Macaca fascicularis: one gene and its partner. The protein of the gene in region 2 purifies or fractionates together with the protein of the main gene of each other region. This does not show direct contact. Links are inferred from orthologs where the notes say so. Each region holds a gene or a part of one and is shown on either strand. Other genes may lie near its edges.

Evidence for each region.
Region 1: the proteins of RARA (region 2) and KLF5 purify together in Homo sapiens (affinity purification with western blotting; 4 studies listed by BioGRID). This does not show direct contact. The link is inferred for Macaca fascicularis from reciprocal best matches to the Homo sapiens genes RARA and KLF5.

The regions. Positions count from the first base shown.
Region 1 is NC_088391.1:64,022,758-64,033,244, reverse strand, and holds the start of KLF5 (Krueppel-like factor 5), read right to left. Parts: upstream 6,181-10,487; 5' UTR 5,856-6,180; coding exon 5,595-5,855; intron 3,335-5,594; coding exon 2,461-3,334; intron 1,668-2,460; coding exon 1,608-1,667; intron 1-1,607. UniProt on the Homo sapiens protein: Transcription factor that binds to GC box promoter elements. Activates the transcription of these genes.
Region 2 is NC_088390.1:61,391,176-61,401,621, forward strand, and holds the start of RARA (retinoic acid receptor alpha), read left to right. Parts: upstream 1-5,546; 5' UTR 5,547-5,653; intron 5,654-10,446. UniProt on the Homo sapiens protein: Receptor for retinoic acid. Retinoic acid receptors bind as heterodimers to their target response elements in response to their ligands, all-trans or 9-cis retinoic acid, and regulate gene expression in various biological processes.

The DNA.
Region 1 (10,487 bases), on a different chromosome or scaffold from region 2:
CCTTCCTCTTATGTAATCAGTTTGTCTCTATGCAAAAACCTCAGGCCAAAACAGCCTGCTCATTTCATAGATAAATACAAAAGATGTCTTTTCCTTAAAAGCAGTTTCTCAGAAAGCCCTGGAATCTACTACACTGTCATCAGATTTTAATAAGTAGTGTTTATCACTGGGATATCAAGCAATGCTTCCTAACATGCATACAAAATGTCTGCAACCATATTCCTCTTAGGGCTCTATCTCAGCACTGACCTTTGTTCAAAGGCTTTTACTTTTTAATGCAGCAGTTAGAGATAACTACTTCATTTATCAAAACTCAATTTCCATAGTAACATCTAGCCTGGGGAGATTCAAGTCCTCACACTAATCCAACAACCCATTCAAAGGAACTGTTGAATACTTTGGTTTCCATAGCAATGATGGAATAATACATTTTGCTAGGTCATTGCTTTTATTAGCAAACTTATTCTTTGAACTTTAGGTAAGGCTGTATTTATTGAGGGAAAAAAACAATCACTTTATGTAAGTTCTTTCCTTTAGGGCTGCTCTTTCAAGAAAATCGCAATTAGTAACCATCTATATATTTGAAAATATTTGGAGTATTTGGGGGCCTTTAAAGTATGCCACCTGGTTTCATCTTAAAATGGCTTCTGATATAATTTTAAAATGTAAAAGTTCTTAAAAGTGCTGATTGGGCGCAGTGGCTTCCGCCTGTAATTCCAGCACTTTGGGAGGCCAAGGCAGAGGTCAGGAGTTTGAGACCAGCCTGGCCAACATGGTGAAACCCCATCTCTACTAGAAATACAAAAATCAGCTGGGCGTGGTGGTGGGGGCCTGTAATCCCAGCTACTCAGGAGGCTGAGGCAGGAGAATCGCTTGAACGTGGGAGGCAGGGGTTGCAGTGAGCTGAGATCACAACACTGCACTACAGCCTGGCGACAGAGCAACACTCAGTGTCAAAAAAAAAGTGACTGCAAATACAAAAGTAGAGTGGCTAAATTTAAAAGCACAAGTAAACAACAATGAAATGTAAGCTAGAATAAAGATGAAGTGTCTCATACATACCAAGTTTGGGCTGGGGCTTCTAACCCATTTCTGACCACCTGATTTTAACACTGCAATTTCAGCCCTACCTTTCATCAAGCACAGAAAACATACTAAACACAGATATTTTAACCTATAGGTGAAACTAAAGATAATGTTTTCACCAATTATGCTGTACATGAGTTTAAAATGGCTTTCTCAGAGCAAAATTATGTGTTATGGAAGAAAATGAGTTTTTTTTTTTTCTTCAAAACACTGCCATTACAAGTTTTAAAATCCATTAGTAAACATCGTTGTTTACGTTTTTGGGTAATCAATTCTATGAGCGGTGACAGGGCAAGAAGGCCTTAGTGAGGGAACATCACCGGCCTTCCTGGAACCAGATTTCTCATGGAACTGAATTCTGAGCCAAGCCCGTGCTGAAAAGGTAGGCTATTTATTTAAAAAAAAAAAAAAAAAAAAAAAAGTTGACAGAAGAAGAGATCAAACACGTGTTAGCTTTTAAAAGGATGAATACCACTTACACTATTTACACAACTCACAGAATTAACAAGAAAATTACATACCAGTGTGAGTCCTCAGGTGAGCTTTTAAATGAGAAGACTTTGTATAAACTTTTGTGCAACCTAAAATAAAGGAGAACAGCATGTCATTTTGGAGATCCTTTTGAAATCTTTACATTTGATGATTCAGTGTTTAAAATCTGGCTTTAAAGAAGAAATCTCTCATGCTAGATGAGATTATTTGAAGCTTCAGATTTAAAAGTTTTTTAAAGAGTCCTCCCCCATTACCCTGTTAAAGGCATAAAGTGATTTGTTTTATGTATCACTTTAACAGGAAAGAATGCAGATAATCAAGCCAAACTACAAATGGAAAATTTGTGTTTATATTCCAGTAGGTGCTGTACTTCCGTAATTTAAGAGTTACTATATGTTTTTTGGAAAATTTTAATGGCTCTAGAGCTGACAATGCTAAGCCATTATCCAAGATGACTGTAATTTTCTGTACTCCCACATTTGTTTTTTCATTTAGCACGTCATGCCATATCATGTATCAAAGTCAATAAATTTTGTCATGTATTAATCATAAACTAGCTTTCCCAGTAACTTGTAGATCTATTCCATGTATTGTCTTCAATTTACACTTTGGGCCACGTATCTCATTCAAAACTGAGCATATGCTCACATGCCATCAAAACCATTCTTAAATCTATCCTGTAGACAGTCTTGTACCTACCATCACGCTAGCTGCCTACAACCTCCACTTCACTACCAAACCTTATTTTCCCCTACCCTACTTTAATCTCTTTCTGGGGCACTTAATTTAGAATTAAAAACTGCAATTTATTCAATTGCCATTTTAAAGTCACACACACACACACACAACCTATTGATGCTTCAACCAGGTAAGAGCACATACCAGGGTAATCGCAGTAGTGGATGCGTCGTTTCTCCAAATCGGGATTACTCCTTCTATTGTATCTGACAGGTTGGATGTTTTGTGAGTTAACTGGCAGGGTGGTGGGTAAATTTGGATTGTGAATTGCCAGTTTAGAAGCAATTGTAGCAGCATAGGATGGAGGTGGGGTTAAATTCTGGAGCATCTCTGCTTGTCTATCTGGACTTCCAGGCTCTGAGCTTGGTGGTGACGGGGGAAAATAAGTGGCCTGTTGTGGAAGAAACTGACTTGGCATTGTGTATGTGCAAGGGGGCATGCCCTGGAATTGTTTCACTGCAGTCTGCGGAACAGCAGAGGTGTGTGTGTTAAGGCCTGCCATGGCAGCTGACATAGAAACATTAAGAGTGTCCATTGCTGCTGTCTGGTTTGTAGAACTGGGCATATCTAGATCCGGTGTATTCAGTAGCTGGTACAGGTGGCCCTGCTGGGGAGGGACAGAAAGATGAAGATCTGGTGTAGGAAGTTCTTGTTTGATGAAAATATTGTTCACCTCTGGAGCTGCGGTCTGGTGTGAGCTGAATATACTGGTGAACTCAGGGAGGGCCTGGGTCGGGGCCGGAGGAGGGGCAGTCGTTTCACTCTGGTGGCTGAAAATGGCAACAGGTTCTGTCTTGATGTGTGTTACGCACGGTCTCTGGGATTTGTAGAGGCCAGTTCTCAGGTGAGTGATGTCAGGGAGGAAGACGTTCATGTTGATACTGTAAGGTAACCCTTCAGTGTCAGTGAAGAACTGGTCTACGACTGAGGCACTGTCTCGTCTATACTTTTTATGCTCTGGAATTATAGGAACTGGAGGAAGCTGAGGTGTCAGATACTTCTCCATTTCACATCTTGTCTAAAAAAGAAGAGATACAAACATGCATAATCCACCTGATTCACCATCTTGGGAAGGACAAACAATCGGCGCCTACTAAAAATTACCCCAATCCCTGTATAAGGTACTCGGGCAAACTCCTCAGTGTTGCTTATAAACATATCAGGCTTATTTTGTCGATTGTGTAATAATTGGTTGACCAAAACCTTATGAAACTGTGTAACTGGTAAAACTGCTCCCCCAATCACCCCCAAAAGTGAAAGACGCAAATCAAGAAAAAAAAAGAAAGCAAACTGAAAACATTCCTTTCTGATGCAATAACAAGGTATCACCCCTGTACAAGCAGGATTCCCTGCCCCATTACACAGTTAAATTTGCAATTAGAGTACACTATTGAAATGTTGCCAAACTACCTCAATTCTGTTTAAGTCATAAACATTAAAAAGCGTGTTTTTTGTTTTGTTTTGTTTTTTTACAGAAAAAACTATGCAAACCTTTAAAATATTGCAAAGGTTTATTTGGCTAGACACTTCAAAAGTAATATAAAAAATATTCTTTGGCTACTTCTGTGTCTTTTCTTGTTTACAGTTCAATGAGAAATACAATGTTCTAAGCAAAACCTTGTATCCACTGAAACAAAACAATTTCACATTCAATATTTGACCTAAAGGTTGATTTTAATCAGCAGATCCTGTAATTGGTTAATATGATAATGAAATGTTCCTATTCATACCCCTATCTAAAACAGATCTTTAATTACCTAGGGGAAAATCACTCCCTCGCTAGAGTGCTGCTAAGGAGCCCGTGGGTGGGGAGGCTGCTGTATCCCTAGCACAGTCATCAGCAAAACATTTATCATGTCCTCCTCAGTGGGCCAATGCTACATTCCCCCCGACTCTGTAAAAAGCTCAGTCATCCCTTATCTTCTTGTGCCTCCAGAGCAGAAAATTGACAAACTGAAATAACCAAATACTTTTCAAACGATGATCTCTTTTCTAGGCTTTTAAATCAGCTTGTAACAAGTCGCCTCAAGCTTTTTCCAGCTATCTTCTCTCCTAGTATAACTTAAGCCTACATTTTTTAACACTGAAAAAGGAAATTTCGAAAGATAAGATAACCAACTAGATGGAATGGCGCATAGTATTAGCTTGGCACCTTAATCGGTAAATAAGACAGTCATTTTCTGCTACTACTTCATTTCAAATGCGTTTCATCTCGGACCTTGGTGTGGATCCGGACGGGGTTTCCCGGATAGACACGATTTAAAAATAAAAATTAACGCTCACGTCATGTGAGTCACATCTCTGACAAATGCCACTGCCCTCTCACAGCAGGACCCTGACAGACCCCACGGAGTAGGCGCTGGGTAGCAAATATGCGATACGCCAAAGGGCTACTAAATGAAGTGTCTTGAAATAAACTGAACTAAACCCTTTCGTGCACTGCGCTCCCGCGGCGGTTAGTGGTTTCTGATTTTAGCTCTTCCAGCTGTTTGCATGTGGGTATGTTTCCAATTTTTTTTTCCTTGGGACAGGCTAAAAGTCCCGGGAAGTTTTTTTCTGGGCTATATGACTCCCTGCGTGGGCGAAAGAAACAGGCGGTTGCTCTAATTCGGCTGCTGGGCAAGTGTAAAAGCCAACTGCCAGCTTTCAACGCGGCTCCGGGAGGAAATTTACGCGCACACGAAGAAAACAACACCCCCGGTCTTTTTTTTTTTTTTAAGGAAAAATAAGCGCTCCAACACAACCTTAGCTTTCCTAACTCTCATTTTCCAAACGCGGCCCGCGATCGCTTCTAAAGCAGGTTGAGCCACCGGCTATGAAATCTTGAGCAACCTCTCCCCAGCACCCCAATTTGCGTTTCTACTTAACCCGAGACGATGGGGATGGGGGAGCTCCAATGCCTTGGCACTGGGGAGCGGTAAAGGTGAAGACGTAATTTAAGTAAAACTGAGCGTAAGGTACAAGGTTTCGTCCCTCAAGTGTAAGAAAAACAACTAAGGTGCGTGTGAGCACCCAGTTCCCTCCCTCTGATCTCTCCCAGGCCAAGCCGCCGGGGCAGATTCCCCTCTATCCTTCCCCCCTCCCGACCCCTCATTTACTCTCAGCGAAACGCGGGTCCCCGGCCAGGCGTGCAGGGCGGGGCTGCCCACCCAGCACCGGCTCCGGTGCGCCCCGACGCACGCCCCAGCCTGGAGCGGCCCCTGTCGCCCGCGCGTCGCAGCGACGGGACACGCCCGGGCCCGGGAGTGCAGTGGTGGGAGGGGAGCGGCTCTTCCTACCTGGACTAGCTCCTCGGGAGGCAGCCGCGGGCCGGCAGCGGGCGGCTGGGCCGGCTGCGGGGCCTGCGCGGGCGCGGGCTGCGCCTGCGAGCGGTGGTGCGCGTGCTTCAGCTCCTCGCCAGGGAAGAGCGCCGCGTCGCGGGCCGGATTTGCGGCGCCCAGCACGGGCTTGAGCTGCGCGAACACGGGCTCGTCCTGCGGCGCCGGCGGCTGGGGCACGGGTCCCAGGCGGGCGCTCATGCTCAGCACCCGCGTAGCCATGGGCACTCGGGAGCGCGGCTCCGGGCGCGGGTCGGGCGCACTTCCCACCTCGCCCACCCTGGCTTGGGGCGGCGAGCTCGGTGCGGGGCTGCGGTCGGAGGAGGGGAGAGGTTTCGGGTGGACCCCTCAGACAGCGGCAGGCAGTTTTCGAAGGCGCGCACGAAAAGCAAAACTCTTCCGCTCTTCCACACGTAAACGCCAACGTCCTACGGGCGGCCACTTTCTCCCGCCCCGCCCCACTGCGCTCTCAGGCTCTCCAGAGCCCGCTCCCGCCACCGCCGACCTCAGCGAGAGAACTGCGAGCGCGCGTACCTGCCCCACGACTACTGACACTTGACGCCCGCCTCTATTTCACCCAACTCCGGGGGGGCGGGGCCCGCTCGCCTGATTGGCAGCGCCGCCGCGAATCCCGAGGCCTCAAGGCCGGCCGGGCCTGAGCGGCCAGCCTATGAGCAGGGAGAGAGGCAGCCAGGGCCCCGCCTCCGCCGGCCCGACCGCACCCCTCTCGGGCCACGAGCTTCGCGCGCAGGGCGGCCGCGCAGTTTGTACACAACTTCTCTGACAGATTGGGCTGGCGGAGCTGGGGGCGGAGGGAAGTAGCGGAGCGGGTGGAATCTGGGAAGAGGGGGAATTAGGGTGGAGACGCGGAGGGAGAGCTCTTCGCACTGTTCTCTGCCAGGATTAGGAAGAAAAAGAGTATTGCACGTCTTAGGTGTTGTGCAAGGACCTGAAACTCAAAAGCTGAAACCCAGAAGGCAGCTAGGTGGGGGCGCTGAGGCTTTTAGAGATTTGTCTAATGAGTGTGTACTTTTAAATATCCGAAATATACTTCTCTTTAGCAGAAAACTAGGGGCGGTGTGATAAACAAATTTAAAACAGCTCTTGTCTCATGTATCTTTAGCAGTGACTGTATCCATTTAACAAGGCAAATTCAGAATGCCTGAATAAAAGATTTGATGGGAAGCGTTATTTTCAAATCCTCGCATAAAAGCCTGAGTTTTTCCCACTCCTTCAGGATTTTAATTGCTAGACGTTTTCCCACACATTTGTACCTCCTATCCGTGTGTGGGGAGGAGGGCTTGGGCCACATGAATTTTGAAGTTTCTAATATTTAAGCCATGTTGATTCTAGCCGAAGCATGGAATCTAATTTAAGCACGACTGGCTCAAATGTGTACTTAAATAGACATTACATCTTTGACTTATTTTTGCTAGCACTGTATGTTAAAAAAATGGACTTTAATATTTACAAAACAGAAACCTAGCACATTTACCTCACATTGTGGCACCTTTTCCTACGAAGAGACAACCAGAAAGCCACAAACATAGACACATAGACACTGAAAACTGGGAATCCAAATTTGTTGGAAGGTAATAGCCAAATATATTACCGTCCATTTACTATGTTGTTATAATGGGAGGGTGAATTTTTGCCAGGAATCACCTAAGGAAACCACTTCCCTTAATCCTTAATGTTCTTGTACATGATTTTATCTGGCTTATTGGGAGGACGGAACAATAAACTGCAATAAAAATGCTTGTGATATTACTACAAATGTACATATGTTGACAGCACAGTATACCATTAGACAGTTTTACATATACGACAGCCTACTCATCGCTTCAGAGTAAAACAGCTTTAAAAAAAAAAGTATTTGAAAAAAACGTTCACTTCAAAGAGCATATCTATCAAAGGTATGGATCTCATTTTCAATGGGTAGAAAATTAATAAGCACATAAAGAAATGTATTTATTATTAGAACATATAAAATTATGCTGTAAACTAGGTTTTTCTCCTTTTCCTTCTCTTCCTGTTGATACATGATTCATTTCTACTAACTGTGACCACTGCCTTCAGAGAATGACTGATGACTACTTTCATGTTACCAAAGTATTATTTAATAAGTGCTTTTGCAAGTTTTTCTCTAACCAAACAGCCCCATGCTGTCCACCTTCATCTTTAAAAAGCTGTCTTGCTTTTCTCTAATATCAAACCGATCATGTAATTAATTAGCTTAGAAACAGATTATAGAATTAGGATGGGATTTAATGTAACTCTTTTAAAAAATTGAGCTCTGAAAGATTGTTAGTTACTTAATTCTGATAACATCAAACCTAAATGTGATGTAGATAATTCTTAATAGAACTTTTGTGCTCTTGTAACTTTAAGCTAAATCTAACTTAGATTTAATACATTTGGTAGCTGTATCTTAATGTGCTTTTAAACCTATCTAGACCTTTCCTTTTGTCTTTCTTTTTACGAGAGCTTCAGTGGCCTGGTATTTCAATCTAAGTTTTCACTGCAATAAAATCCCTGTATTTTACTGGAAATGCTTCCATAATTTCACACCACTTTTTAACATGCTTTCATTTACAAAAGCTTTTTCATTGCAAAAAAAGAAAAAAACACACACAACTAATATTGTTTTTAATATTTTTAGTCTTGTTGTTTCATATTTCCACTTTTCATAATGAATATAGATATGAAGCTAGCGTTGGGGTTCTTATAGTAACTGAATATATTCCTTTTTGCTCCAATACAGTAGCACCTTTTAAAATTTCATTTCAGGCATAAAGATTCATGAAATAGGGCTGCCACTTTTAAGTAATAGTTTCTCTGAAATGCCCTGCTCTGCAATCTCACAGAAAATAACTAGCTTAGCACTGTACAATAGTACGGAAATTGGAAAGTAATCCTTTTCGGAGACATTTGCCATGTGATTCTGAGCATATAAAGAACATGTTCAACCAAGCTTCCCTGCTGTTACTTTTAACATAAATGCTACAGCTGCAAACCTGTTTCATCGACTTAGTAAAAAGGGTTAAAACTTGATAAATATTTTTCAAATGTTCCAGGTTCTACATTGGCATGAAGCCAGACAGAGTGAATGGACAGATCCTCAATTACTTTGAACTTTCTAGTTCTTTGCATTCCTTCCCGCTTAGTAGTGCTGTACCATTAGGGAAGATGGGAGAAAACAAAAAACAAATGTCAGGTTTCAGAAATCAATTAGTGGCCTGGCAGTGGTGTGTTAAGTGAACTGTGCCAAAACAGGGGATTCTGAGGGAATGAAATAAAAATGTTGAGTGCTCAAGTTAGGTAGGAGGGTAAGCATAGAAGCAGTGTGCATGCTTAAGTCCTTAGTCACTGGGCAACACAGATTTAGTCTTAGAATAAACCATAAGTGTCACTATCTTTACGGGAATAAATACGGATGAATATGCGGGGGCTGAACAGGCATTCAGTGATGGGGGAGGGGGTTTGAAGGAGGCAGTGGAAAAAAATAGATAAATAGCTTCTGAATGATGAGATGAGGGAAATATGAAGCTATCACTAGGGCAATGTTCACACAACGACACGGCAAAAGGAATATCTAAATTCAGTTGTTTGGCAAATCTAAATTCAGTTGTTTGGCAAACAACTGAAATGTCAGAGAGAGCTCGAAATTAAGAGGTATAGAGTATCACAGCCAACAAAACTGTATTCACTTCGAGTAGAAAAATATTCATAGAATATTTATTTCTGCTAAATCAGTATCAAATTGCCAAGTGATCTTGGGCCACAGGAAAAAGAACAAGAATAAACATGAAAAATAAAGTTTTATACGGGAGCACACTCTTCTCTAGGGTAAGATTATTTAATTAAAGTGACTGGTAGTCATTGATTGTCCACCCCTGTTAGAATCTGTATCAGTGAAAACTTAAAACTATTGTAATTATTGTCCTCTCAAACATTTCACATCTGTAGTCTTTGTATTTTTTCATTAACGGCAACCACTTAAAGCCACATATCAGAAAAAAAGTCATTAAGGAAATAGCCTGATAAATAGAAGCTTCAACTGAGATTAGTTGGAATTTAAAGCATTTAAAGCAAAAGATTACGAGACGAGAAAGAAGATGCTCTGTTCATTGTTTTTGTGATGAAAAAATATGCAATTTAAATAAGACTAAATACATCTATTTATATTAATTAAAATTATGTCTTAAGACAACAACTTAATATTTTATTTTTGTAATGTCTCTTGCCTCCAGTTCTCAAGAAATTACATTTTATATTTCAGTTTGGATTTTTAAACATGTTCTTCTTAAAATATTTCATAAAACTCCCTTTATGCGCTTAATCCTAAGGATACTATAATTTATCTAGCCTAATTTTAAAACTCTACTAATATCCAAAAAACAGGAGAGTTTTACCTTTTGGAGAGACTGGGATTGCTTTTTCCACCTTGTTAGTATAATAAGTAGACAAAAGTGACATAAATATAAACGCCTGGAACCAAGTTATAGGCCAAGCATATTGTAGCTTAAACTGTACAGTATTTAAATTTTGACTCGAAACATGATAGGCAAGGTTAAGAGAAAGGTCTGAGCTAAAGTGGTTACACCAAACAATCTTTTAGAACATTAGGGAGGTCTCATCATCAGCATCACAATGGGTAGTGTTTTGAGCCAATTGCTGTTCATGTGATGACAAAAGCTGTAATGGTACCAGGCTGTGGGGAACACCCTGTGAATGCTCAAATGAACTGTGTGTGCATGGGTCACACGGAAATACTCTTTTAGATGTTGATTTATAGATGAAGTGTGTAAAAGTTGTGCCTAAGAGCAATGCGAGTTCTTCTTGAGTAAACTT
Region 2 (10,446 bases):
CAAAGATGCTGACCTACATTCTTCCTTTTGAAGGTGATGAAGTGTCTGTCTATATCCTGGTTTATCTCTCACCCCCACCCCAAGGAAGCTGATTAAGCTTCCATAGAGTATTGGATATTGCCATGGAAAGAGCATAGACAAAATAAATTGGTGTGTATTTCAACCCCAGAGCTGCCACAGACATTTCTGGCTCAATGGAGACTTGCTTGTGGCTAGCTAACTGCAAGAATGTGTGAGGTCCAGGCTGGGCGTGGTGGCTCACGCCTGTAATCCCAGTACTTTGGGAGGCCGAGGCAGGTGGATCATCTGAGGTCAGGAGTTTGAGACGAATCTGGCCAACATGGCGAAACCCTGTCTCTACTAAAATAAAGTAGCCAGGCATGGTGGCGTGTTCCTGTCATTCCAGCTACTGGAAGGCTGAGGCAGGAGAATGACTACAACCCGGGAGGCAGAGGTTGCAGTGAGCCGAGATAGCACCATTGCACTCCAGCTTGGGCGACAGAGTGAGACTGTCTCAGAAAAAAAAAAAAATGCCGGGTGCAGTGGCTCACGCCTGTAATCCCAGCACTTTGTGGGGCCAAGGCAGGCGGATCACTTGAGGGTCAGGAGTTCAAGACCAGCCTGGCCAACATGGCGAAACCCTGTCTTTACTAGAAGTACAAAAATTAACCTGGCACCGTGGTACACACCTAAAATCACAGCTACTCGGGAGACTGAGGCAGGAGAATTGCTTGAGCCTGGGAGGTGGAGATTGCAGTGAGATGAGATCATGCCACTGTACTCCAGACTGGGTGACAGAGTAAGACTGTCAAAAAATAATGTGTGAAGTCCAATCTACCCAGGGATCAAAAAGTTGGCAGAGCCTTATTCTCTCTGAGCCCCCCGTTTGCATTCCTCCCTATCTTTACTAAGTGTCCCTTTGAATATACATCAGGCCAGGTGTGGTGGCTCATGCCTGTAATGCCAACACTTTGGGAGGAGGCAGCAGCGGGAGGATTACTTGAAGTCAGGAGCTTGAGACCAGCTTGGGCCACATAGTGAGACCCCCCCCTTACCCTTCTCTACCAAAAAAATCTTAAAAATTAGCTGGGCATGGTGGCATGCACCTGTAGTCCTAGCTACTCGGGAAGCTGAGGTGGGAGGATGCTTTGAGCCCAGGAGTTCAACTCGGCATGGGCTGTGATCACACCACTGCATTACAGCCTGGGTGACAGAGTGAGACCCTGTCTCTAAAAGTAAAAGACAGAAAGCAGATACACCAATAAGAATGAGAAGTTGGGAATAAGATGTGACTTTGTGACTTCGGTTTTATATATATATATATATATATATATATTTTTTTTTTTTTTTTTTTGTAAGACTGAGTCTCGCTCTGTCACCCAGGCTGGAGCAGTGGTGCGATCTCTGCTCACTGAAAGCTCCACCTCCCAGGTTCACGCCATTCTCCTGCCTCAGCCTCCTGAGTAGCTGGGACTACAGGTGCTCACCACCACGCCCGGCTAATTTTTTCTGTATTTTTAGTAGAGACGGGGCTTCACTGTGTTAACCAGGATGATCTCGATCTCCTGACCTCGTGATCCGCCCGCCTCGGCCTCCCAAAGTGCTGGGATTACAGGCTTGAGCCACCATGCCTGGCTGGTTATATATTTTTTAAATATCTTGAGAGGTGTTAACCTTGACTGCTGAGGGAGAACAAAAGAGAGCCAAGATTGAAATTTCATTTACATTTGTATCTGTCCCTAGCAATTAGCGTAGTGCCTAATACCTGGTAGGTACTCAATAGTTGCTGAACAGATAAATTAACCAAATAAGATGCTGCCTTTTCCTCCATGTTGAGAACAGTTCTTTTTTTTTTTTTTTTTTTTTTTTTTTTTTTTTTTTTGAGACGGAGTCTCACGCTGTTGCCCAGGCTGGAGTGCAGTGGAGCGATCTCGGCTCACTGCAAGCTCCGCCTGCTGGGTTCACGCCATTCTCCTGCCTCAGCCTCCTGAGTAGCTGGGACTACAGGCGCCCGCCACCGCGCCCGGCTAATTTTTTTTGTATTTTTAGTAGAGACGGGGTTTCACTGTGGTCTCGATCTCCTGACCTTGTGATCCGCCCGCCTCGGCCTCCCAAAGTGCTGGGATTACAGGCTTGAGCCACCGCGCCCGGCTCTTTTTTTTTTTTTTTTTTTTTTTGAGACGGAGTCTCGCTCTGTCGCCCAGGCGGAGTGCTGTGGCCGGATCTCAGCTCACTGCAAGCTCCGCCTCCCGGGTTCACGCCATTCTCCTGCCTCAGCCTCCCGAGTAGCTGGGACTACAGGCGCCCGCCACCTCACCCGGCTAGTTTTTTGTATTTTTTAGTAGAGACGGGGTTTCACCGTGTTAGCCAGGATGGTCTCGATTTCCTGACCTCGTGATCCACCCGTCTCGGCCTCCCAAAGTGCCGGGATTACAGGCATGAGCCACCGCGCCCGGCCTGAGAACAGTTCTAAGGTGAAGGTAAATGTTGGTACTTTTGCACAAAGGTGGAGCAGGCCTCTGCATAACAAGGGTGCTCTGTCTTAGAAAATGTGTCTTGGCACAGTTTTGGAGCATTAGCCTCACAGATGCATTCCAATCACTCCCTCTGATGTAGTGGCATTTTGCTTGAGGCAACTTCCATGTTGCTGGTGGGACGCTTTGGCTGTGCGGGGAAGAGTCTCACCTACAGGCTGGCAAGAGAGCTGCCTGTCTGGATGTTACGCAGTGTGGCTAGATTGGCTAGAAGTTGGGTCTCTAGGCAAGGGTTTAGGGAGAAGCCCATCTTTGATGTCCCACTTTTTTTTTTTTTTTTTTTTTTTGAGACGGAGTCTTGCTCTGTGGCCCAGGCTGGAGTACACTGGTGCGATCTCGACTCACTGCAAGCTCCGCCTCCCGGGTTCGCGCCATTCTCCTGCTTCAGCCTCCCGAGTAGCTGGGACTACAGGTGCCTGCCACCACGCCCGGCTAATTTTTTGTATTTTTAGTAGAGACGGGGTTTCACCGTGTTAGCCAGGATGGTCTCGATCTCCTGACCTTGTGATCCGCCCGTCTTGGCCTCCCAAAGTGCTGGGATTACAGGCGTGAGCCACTGTGCCCTGCCTGATATCCCACTTTTTAACTTGGGGAAAGTTGTGATCTCAGGTTCCTCCTGAAAAGATAAGGTACTTTCTAAGATACCTTCTCTTAAGCTACAAACAGTGCAGGTCTTCCTCTTGGAAGCAGTGTGTTCTGTAAGGGGAGAAGGTGTGCCCTCTGGCCTCCCCTTGATTTTCAACCCCAAGGCACTGGCAGTGGAAGTTAATTGGGTGCAAGGGGCTTGGGTAAAGGCTGAAGACTGGCAAAAGGAGAGAGCCAGCTTCGTTTTTTAAAAAGCTCTAATTGAGTTCTGAATCAGCCTCACTCCCTTTGATCCCTCCTCTGTTTCCCACACTGCCTGAAAGAGCTAGATCAGCACTTTATAACAAGGGTGCGCCTGCTCCCCGCACCGCCCCCCTCTCCTGACGCTCTCTGCTGCCGCCATCCACTGCTTGTCTCCTTCAGTTAAGATAATGAAGATGCTGAGAGATAAAATGTGTATTTAATAAGTGTGGGGGTAGGGAGGCGGAAAGGGGCAACCAGGGCCTTCCCTAGTTTGGGGCCTCGCCAAGACTTAAGCTGAAAGCAAAGCTAGAGTAAGACTTGGCCCCAGGGTGTGGGGGTTTCTGGGCCTCAATCCAGCTGACTTCACTGCCTGCTGTTTGCCCTAAATTCCCCCACCTCCACCCTCTCACCCCCACACTGCTTTCTTCTTGCTCCCAATGGGAAAAAGGACTCTTGCTTCGACTTTCTTTTCAGCTGGTAACTTGGCCTTTGGTGCGGTGCCCCCCACCCCAGTGTCAGCTGCAAGGTCGGGCTAGGGCAGCCCCCTCTAGCCTAGGCCTGTAGAAGCTGTGGGTTCACAGTGGGGGGTGAAAAAGCTGGAGTTAATGAAGACCAGCTGCTAGTCTGAGTTCTGCCTACAGCTAGCTGGAGGCCGGCCTTTGGTGGTGGTTGATGGGGGGTGGGGTGACCTCCATCCATGGGCACAAGGATATCCTGTGGCAGCTAGGCTTGTGCTTCTCTCTGAGCTTAGTTTTATCCTTAGTCTGTAAGAGAGTAGTCTGTTTTCTTCTTCCCCTACTTCTCTCCTCCCCAAATAACACTCAGCTCTTATTGAACTTTATAACTGTAGTGGTGGCCCAGCTGAGATCTGAGGATCTCCAAACCCTTTTGTAAACACTCATTAACTGCCTGGGAAGAACGAAGAGCCCTGTTTAACAGCTGGGAGAGAACTGAGGCACATTAGGGTGAAAGGCTTGACCTAAACTCACCCCATGGACTCCACCCTGGGGCCTTCCATCCTTAGTCCAGCTCCTTTACTCAGTTCTTCCTGCAAGACAGAAAGAGGTGGAGGCATTGCTGGTGTCTTCTCCCCTTCTAGGCAAAGGCCATGCCCTCTCCCCTCAAGTCTGTCCCTGACTTCCTCTGGCCCTTCCCCTGATGACATTTTCCCTGCTCTGCTGCTAGAGATATGTGCAACTCTCCTTGCAAAATGTTCTCAATCCACAACTTCAGAATTCTTATCCACCTTTCTCTTGCCCATGTAGCCCACCAAACCTGAATTCTCCCTTTTGAGCTACTGAGAAGACTGGCTATACTAAACCGAATCACTGACCTTGAAGTTGATCTGTTGTATTGAAGTCCCTCTGCCCCTAGATTTATCCTAAATGGTATCTAGGAAAATATTCTCTCTTTAACTTGTTTATTCTGGTCATAAAGATTCGGGACATTACTAAGGGCTGGGTAGGGGCACTAGTTGACCTCTAGATTCTGCATCCTGTTCTTCCACTGCCAGTCACCATTTCCAGTAATAGATGTAACCCAAAGTCCTTTTTTGTTTTTTTCTCCTTCCCTAACCCCACCTGTTTATACTCTTGCCTATATATGTACATTTGCAGACCCCACACATTCCCAGGTACACATACATTGGTCCTACCTTTTCCCCCCTGTTTCCAGCTGCCATCTAAGTGAGCCTGCACTTTTTACATGCTGAAAATCTGTTTTCTTTTCCCCCTGGATGGCATCCTAGGCACTTGGGAATAACTGGGAGGGATGAAGGGACTCCTGCAGTCCATGAGGAAGAGGACAAAAGTGAGCGCCCAACCAAACGAATGCTCCCTTCCCAAAACCTCTAGCCGAATGCCTTAGCAGGAGTGGCAGGGAAAGAGATCTTAACCCCACCTCCAGCACCAAAACCTAAATCCATCTGTTCAGGGCAGGCAGGAAGAAATGTCTACTTTCTCCTGTTTCATGCCATCCTATCCTCAAGTTGTCCATATGCTGTGTATTTGAGACAGGGAACTGTTCCTGTCCCCAGCCGACGACCAGACGCCCATCTTTCTTCCAGTGGGTTATTTCTTCCCAATCAGTCCTCCGCTCTGCGCCGGCTGACCCAGTGGAAGAGGGCGGGGAGAGCCTTCTGCTTGACGAGTGGGCTTTAGGACCCAACGGGAACCCGTGCCTCTTGCAGCAGCCTAACCCAGAAGCAGGGGGGAATCCTGAATCGAGCTGAGAGGGCTTCCCCGGTTCTCCTGGGAACCCCATCGCCCCCCTGCCAGCACACACCTGAGCAGGTAGGACCATGCACACCCCTTCCCAATTCTTCTTTGGCCGCCTTTGACCCTGGCCTCTGCTTCTGATCTAGCCGTTTCCCTCTCGCCAGTTCTGGCTTTCCCCATCCCTCCTCTCCCGTCGCTCACTGTAGTCCTGGGAGGTGGGAGCCTGGGAACAGTGGGGTGTCTGAAAGCTCAGAGCCCCCTGCACCCTCCTCCTGAGGCAGTTCCCGGTCTCTAGCTAAGAGTGGGGAGTAGGGGGAAGGTCTGCCCAGGCCCCACGCCCTTGCACCCTCCTTTGCAGTATTGCCTAATACCCCTTCCCCCACCTCACCTAGACTGGAGAATTGGCAAGTGCTGGGGTAACAGAGGAGAGAGCCAGAGAGAGACCTGAGCTTTCCCCGAGGGATTTCTTTCTTGCTTCCTCGCCCAAAGAACTCAGGACTTTGCCCCCACTCCCTACTCACCTTGTAGGGGAACTAATGTCCCCTTCCAGGTTCATCTCACACTTGGGTGGCTAAAGGCTTTGCTGGAGGGTAGTGGAGGTTGTGAGCATTTTGGTGACCTTTTCCTCTAGGAAAGTTCTTTCAGCTTAGAGCCCCCATCGCTGTCAACATCTCAACACCTGCTGCAGAAGCCCCCACCCCACCCGTGTGTGTGTGTGTGTGTGTGTGTGTGTGTGTGTGTGTGTGTGTAGAGACAATGTGGTTGTAAGAGCTAGAAGCTTTGGATAGAGGTGGCTGCATGCATTGAAGGGGAGGGATACCAGAGTGTGGCCCAGGCCAGAACAGGCTCAGTCCAGATGGCTAGGGAAGGGAGTGTAGACCAGATTGAGGAGGTCACCCAGCCTTGCCAGCTTCCTGAGCTCCTTGGCTTTCAGAATCCCAGGCTCCTGGTGTTTCTCTAGAGCTACGAGGTCCCCAAGCTTCTGCCCCACTACAGGCTCTCTGGGAGAGGGCTAGATGGCACCTACTGTTTACAGTGGCTTATTTTTCTCTCCTGTGGTGGGCAGACAGGCCCTGCTCTCTGAAGATCTAGGGCATGTCATTCTGGTTTGGTGGGTTTACAGGAAGGGTGTACATCTTGTATGAGTTACCATGTGTGAGTGTGTATCTTGCTTCTGGGGGTAGTAGACTGGGGAGGGGGTGATAGAAGAGACTGGTCACACTGAGGGAACTCCTCTAGCTCTCAGTGTGTGGTAGGAGTGGGTGGCATGTCCCCATCTGGTAGCTCTGTCTAGGTGTGGGGTGTGCTCTGCATTCTTCCATGACTCCCTGGGTCCCCTAAAGGTTGGTTTTGGAGGACACGGTGGATAATGGAGTGGCTTCAGACTTCCCTCTGGTCTTGATCCAAGAAGGAAAGTAGAGATTCTGACTGCGAGCAGTGGACTGGGAATCAGAGGACTGAACTGGAGACTTAGCCTGGTTACTTAACTATGTGTGTTTATATATGTCTTCCCCTTTGCTAAGCCTCAGTTTCTTCATTTGTAAAAATGGCTATCAGTAGCAAGCAGGGACATTGCCACCAAGACCATACAGAGAATGTATCATAAAGCTCACTGCAAACGGTAGTAATGGCTGGGGGGATCTAGGATGGAATCCTCTTCCTAAATCTAGGTCAATCTCTCTGCCTTCAGTTTTCTTCCCCCATCCTTTGCCCATCTGGGGGATGGAGGAACCAGGCAGGGCTATTGCCCTGGGTACTGCAGAATTCCCCTAATGCAGGTTGTAGCTGTTGCCAGAGCACCTGTGGTCACAGAGTACAGATCTCTCCACCAGGCATTTCTTCCTCTGGGGCCCCATACTTGCTCCCCTGAGCCATGTCTCCACCTTCCTTCTGCCATCCCTGCTTGGCGTCCTTGTCTCTCTCTCCCCTGCCCAGTGGCCTCCTTGTCCGGCTCACTGGGCAGGAGCCCTAATCGGATTCGACAGCTGAGATATGTGTGGCGGCTAAGAGCAGGCGGGAGGGAAGCCAGTGGGAGGATGGTATGAGGACTGCCCCTGGCACTGCCCCGGCCTCCCGAGCACCACCTTGGGCCTGCTGATTTCTTACTTGGCTTGGCCCCAAGGAAGGGGTGCCAGAGGAAGCTCAGGAATGAACAGGCTGAGGTCTGGAGACTAGGAGAGGAGGAAACACACCAAGGTCCTGAGGACCTGGTTGATATTTGATGACCTTAATGTCAGTGTCTCTGACTCTGACAAGGAGGAAAGGACAGCGATGAGCCAGGCTGACCCCCGCCACCCCATTCCCATAGCCCCACTTTCTTCTCTCTTCTTGTTCAGAAATGTGTTCACTTTGCCTCCTCTAGACCCTTTGGCCAGTACCTCCTTGTGGGTCACATCTGGGAGCTTCTGGGGTGCCACATGTCTGCCTCAATCTGGGCTGTTTCCTCCCCTCCAAGGTATTTCACTCTCTCTGGGCTGGGCGCCAGGACTCCTGGGTTTCCCACCCGCCTGTGGTGCAGGGCTCCCCTGCAGGGCTCCAGAGAGTCGCTTAGCTGGTTTCCTTCCTTCTGTGTGGGGAGGGCCTTCCCCTAGGGCTGGGAGGTGTCAGAAATCCCAGGTGGGACAGGGGTGGGGGCACAGTAGCCTCTGGCACTGTAGCACCCCAGCTTCTCCCTCCTAGCCTCTGACTCAGCTTGAGGGCAGCACATGCCCAGCCTGGCAGGCATGGCCCATTCTTGCCTCCAGGCTTCTGTCTTTACAGAAGCCTACATCTCCTGCTCTCATTTTTTAGCTTGTGTTCCCCATGATATCTGGGGGTGGCTATCGAAATCCCTGGTTTTGGGGAGCAAGGGACTAACATAATTGAGGCTGGGGCACTATTTTGTCTTCCCTCCATTTGGGCCAGGATGAAGGAAACTGTCACAAACTTCCCCACGCCAATTCTTCCTGCCCTCAAAAGACCAGTCAGTGGAGCCAGGCCCTGCCCTCTGGGTGCCCACAATGTGGTTGGCACTGATTTGTCAGAAATTGGGAAGGTTTCCCTCTAGACCGCTTGCCTCCTTTCTCCTCCTCCCACAGGGTAGGGGCAGCTCTGTGATTGCAGGCACTTATGGGCAGGCCTCCCCCTAGGGAAGGGGTGTGGGATGCCCCCAGGATGGCCAAGTTGGCACTAGCCCCAGGCTGGAGTGCTGGACAAGATTCTGACCTGGGAGTTAGTTGGGGGAAGGCAGGGCATGGGCCTCCCTGCCCCCCTCGTTTCCTGCTCTTTGGGCAGCTGTGGGCGAGAAAGGCTGCAGGGACTATTTTTAGTTGGTCAGTCCCCTGGCAGGAGGGACGTGCAGAGCAGCACGGGGCAGGCAGAGGGGCTTGCCAAGGTGAGGGTAAGCAGGCAGGCAGAGGTGTGAGGAAGGGCCAGAGGGGCAGAAGACAGAACAAGGAGGCATGGGGAGCAGGGGCAAGACCTTACCCAGAGGGACCTGACCCAGGTAGATGGGCCGGGCTGGGCTGGAGTGGGTGGAAGAGTCCTGGCACCCTTCAGGGCTTTCTTTATCCAACTGGACTCAGAGCTGGAAGAGGTTTTAGGGGCTACCTAGGCAATCCCTTCCCCTTTCAGAGAAGGAAACTGAGGCCTAGAGAGGACACTCAATCAGTCACTGGCTGTGTTGAGACCTGAACCTAGGCCCTCCCTTTGCACCATTTTTCTGTTGTCATGGTTCCTCACTACACCTCAGTGTGCTTCCTTCCCCTACTGCAGCAAGGAGGACCATGAGCCAGGCACACCTGGTCCATTTTCCCCTCTGCTTGTTTGTGCAGGGTCTCTGTAAATCCCAGCTTGGTTTGTTTATAAGTCTCCATGTGGAGAGAGTCTGTGTCCAGGCTGGAAGGAGGTCAGAGTTGGGTTTGTTTGGGTGGCCTGTGGCCACTGGTGTGAATGGAGATACTGGACAGGCTCCAGCAGGCTCACAGGCTGGTGAGCTGTGGGGCTAGGAGACACCTTACAGAAGGGACGTCCAGACTTCCTAGAGCCCTTTGTGAGCCCTCTTCCTACCCTGCCCAGGACCTGTGGGTCATGGTGGCTGTTTGCCAATCTCCCCAGCAAAAAAAGGGAGCAGGGTTGAGGAGTGGGAAGATTACTACTGGCTTCTGATCACTAGTCAGAAGGGGGCCCCCTCTGAGGCCTGGAGGCAGGGAAAGTTGGGGCAAGTTGGGGTGTATATAGGGAGAAAACGTAGTGGAGAATTGTGGTCCCTCAGAATTCAGTCTGCTTTCTGTCTTCTGCCTTAGGCTCTCCCCAAGGGCCACCATGTTGCACAGCTGCAGGGGGAACCATTCCATAGATTATGATGCGAATGGCACCCCCTGGGGTTGTTCAAGGCCCTGCCTGTGTAGCCACACATGGTGCATCTGTCCCCCACGTTCTTCCTTCAAATTAGTTCAGACCCAGCTGGAAGGAGGTGTTCCAGACAGGCATTACACCCTCTCCCTCTCCCCTACCCTGCCTCATGCCACTCAACATCTCCTATTCCTCTGCTGCCCACCCCCAATGCACCAAGCAGGTCATGGTGCACCACCATTTGTATTGTAGGAGCCCCTCCCCTTCTCTCCACTCAGTTTCTGTGTCTCTGGGGGGCTGATTTATCATGCCCCCCATCAGGCCTACTGTGGTGTGTGAGAAATCAATAGTGCAAATGGATTGAGGCTGTTTAGCCTGTCAACTCCCCTTGGGCCCCACCAACTCTTCTGGGACTTGTGGAGTTGCTCAGCCCCCTTCTGGCTCAACATACACATATTTAGTGGTTGTAGCCAGAGCACTGAGCACAGGAATTACTCTTTCTGTTCGTCTCTGTCTCATTCTCTCTCTCTCATATA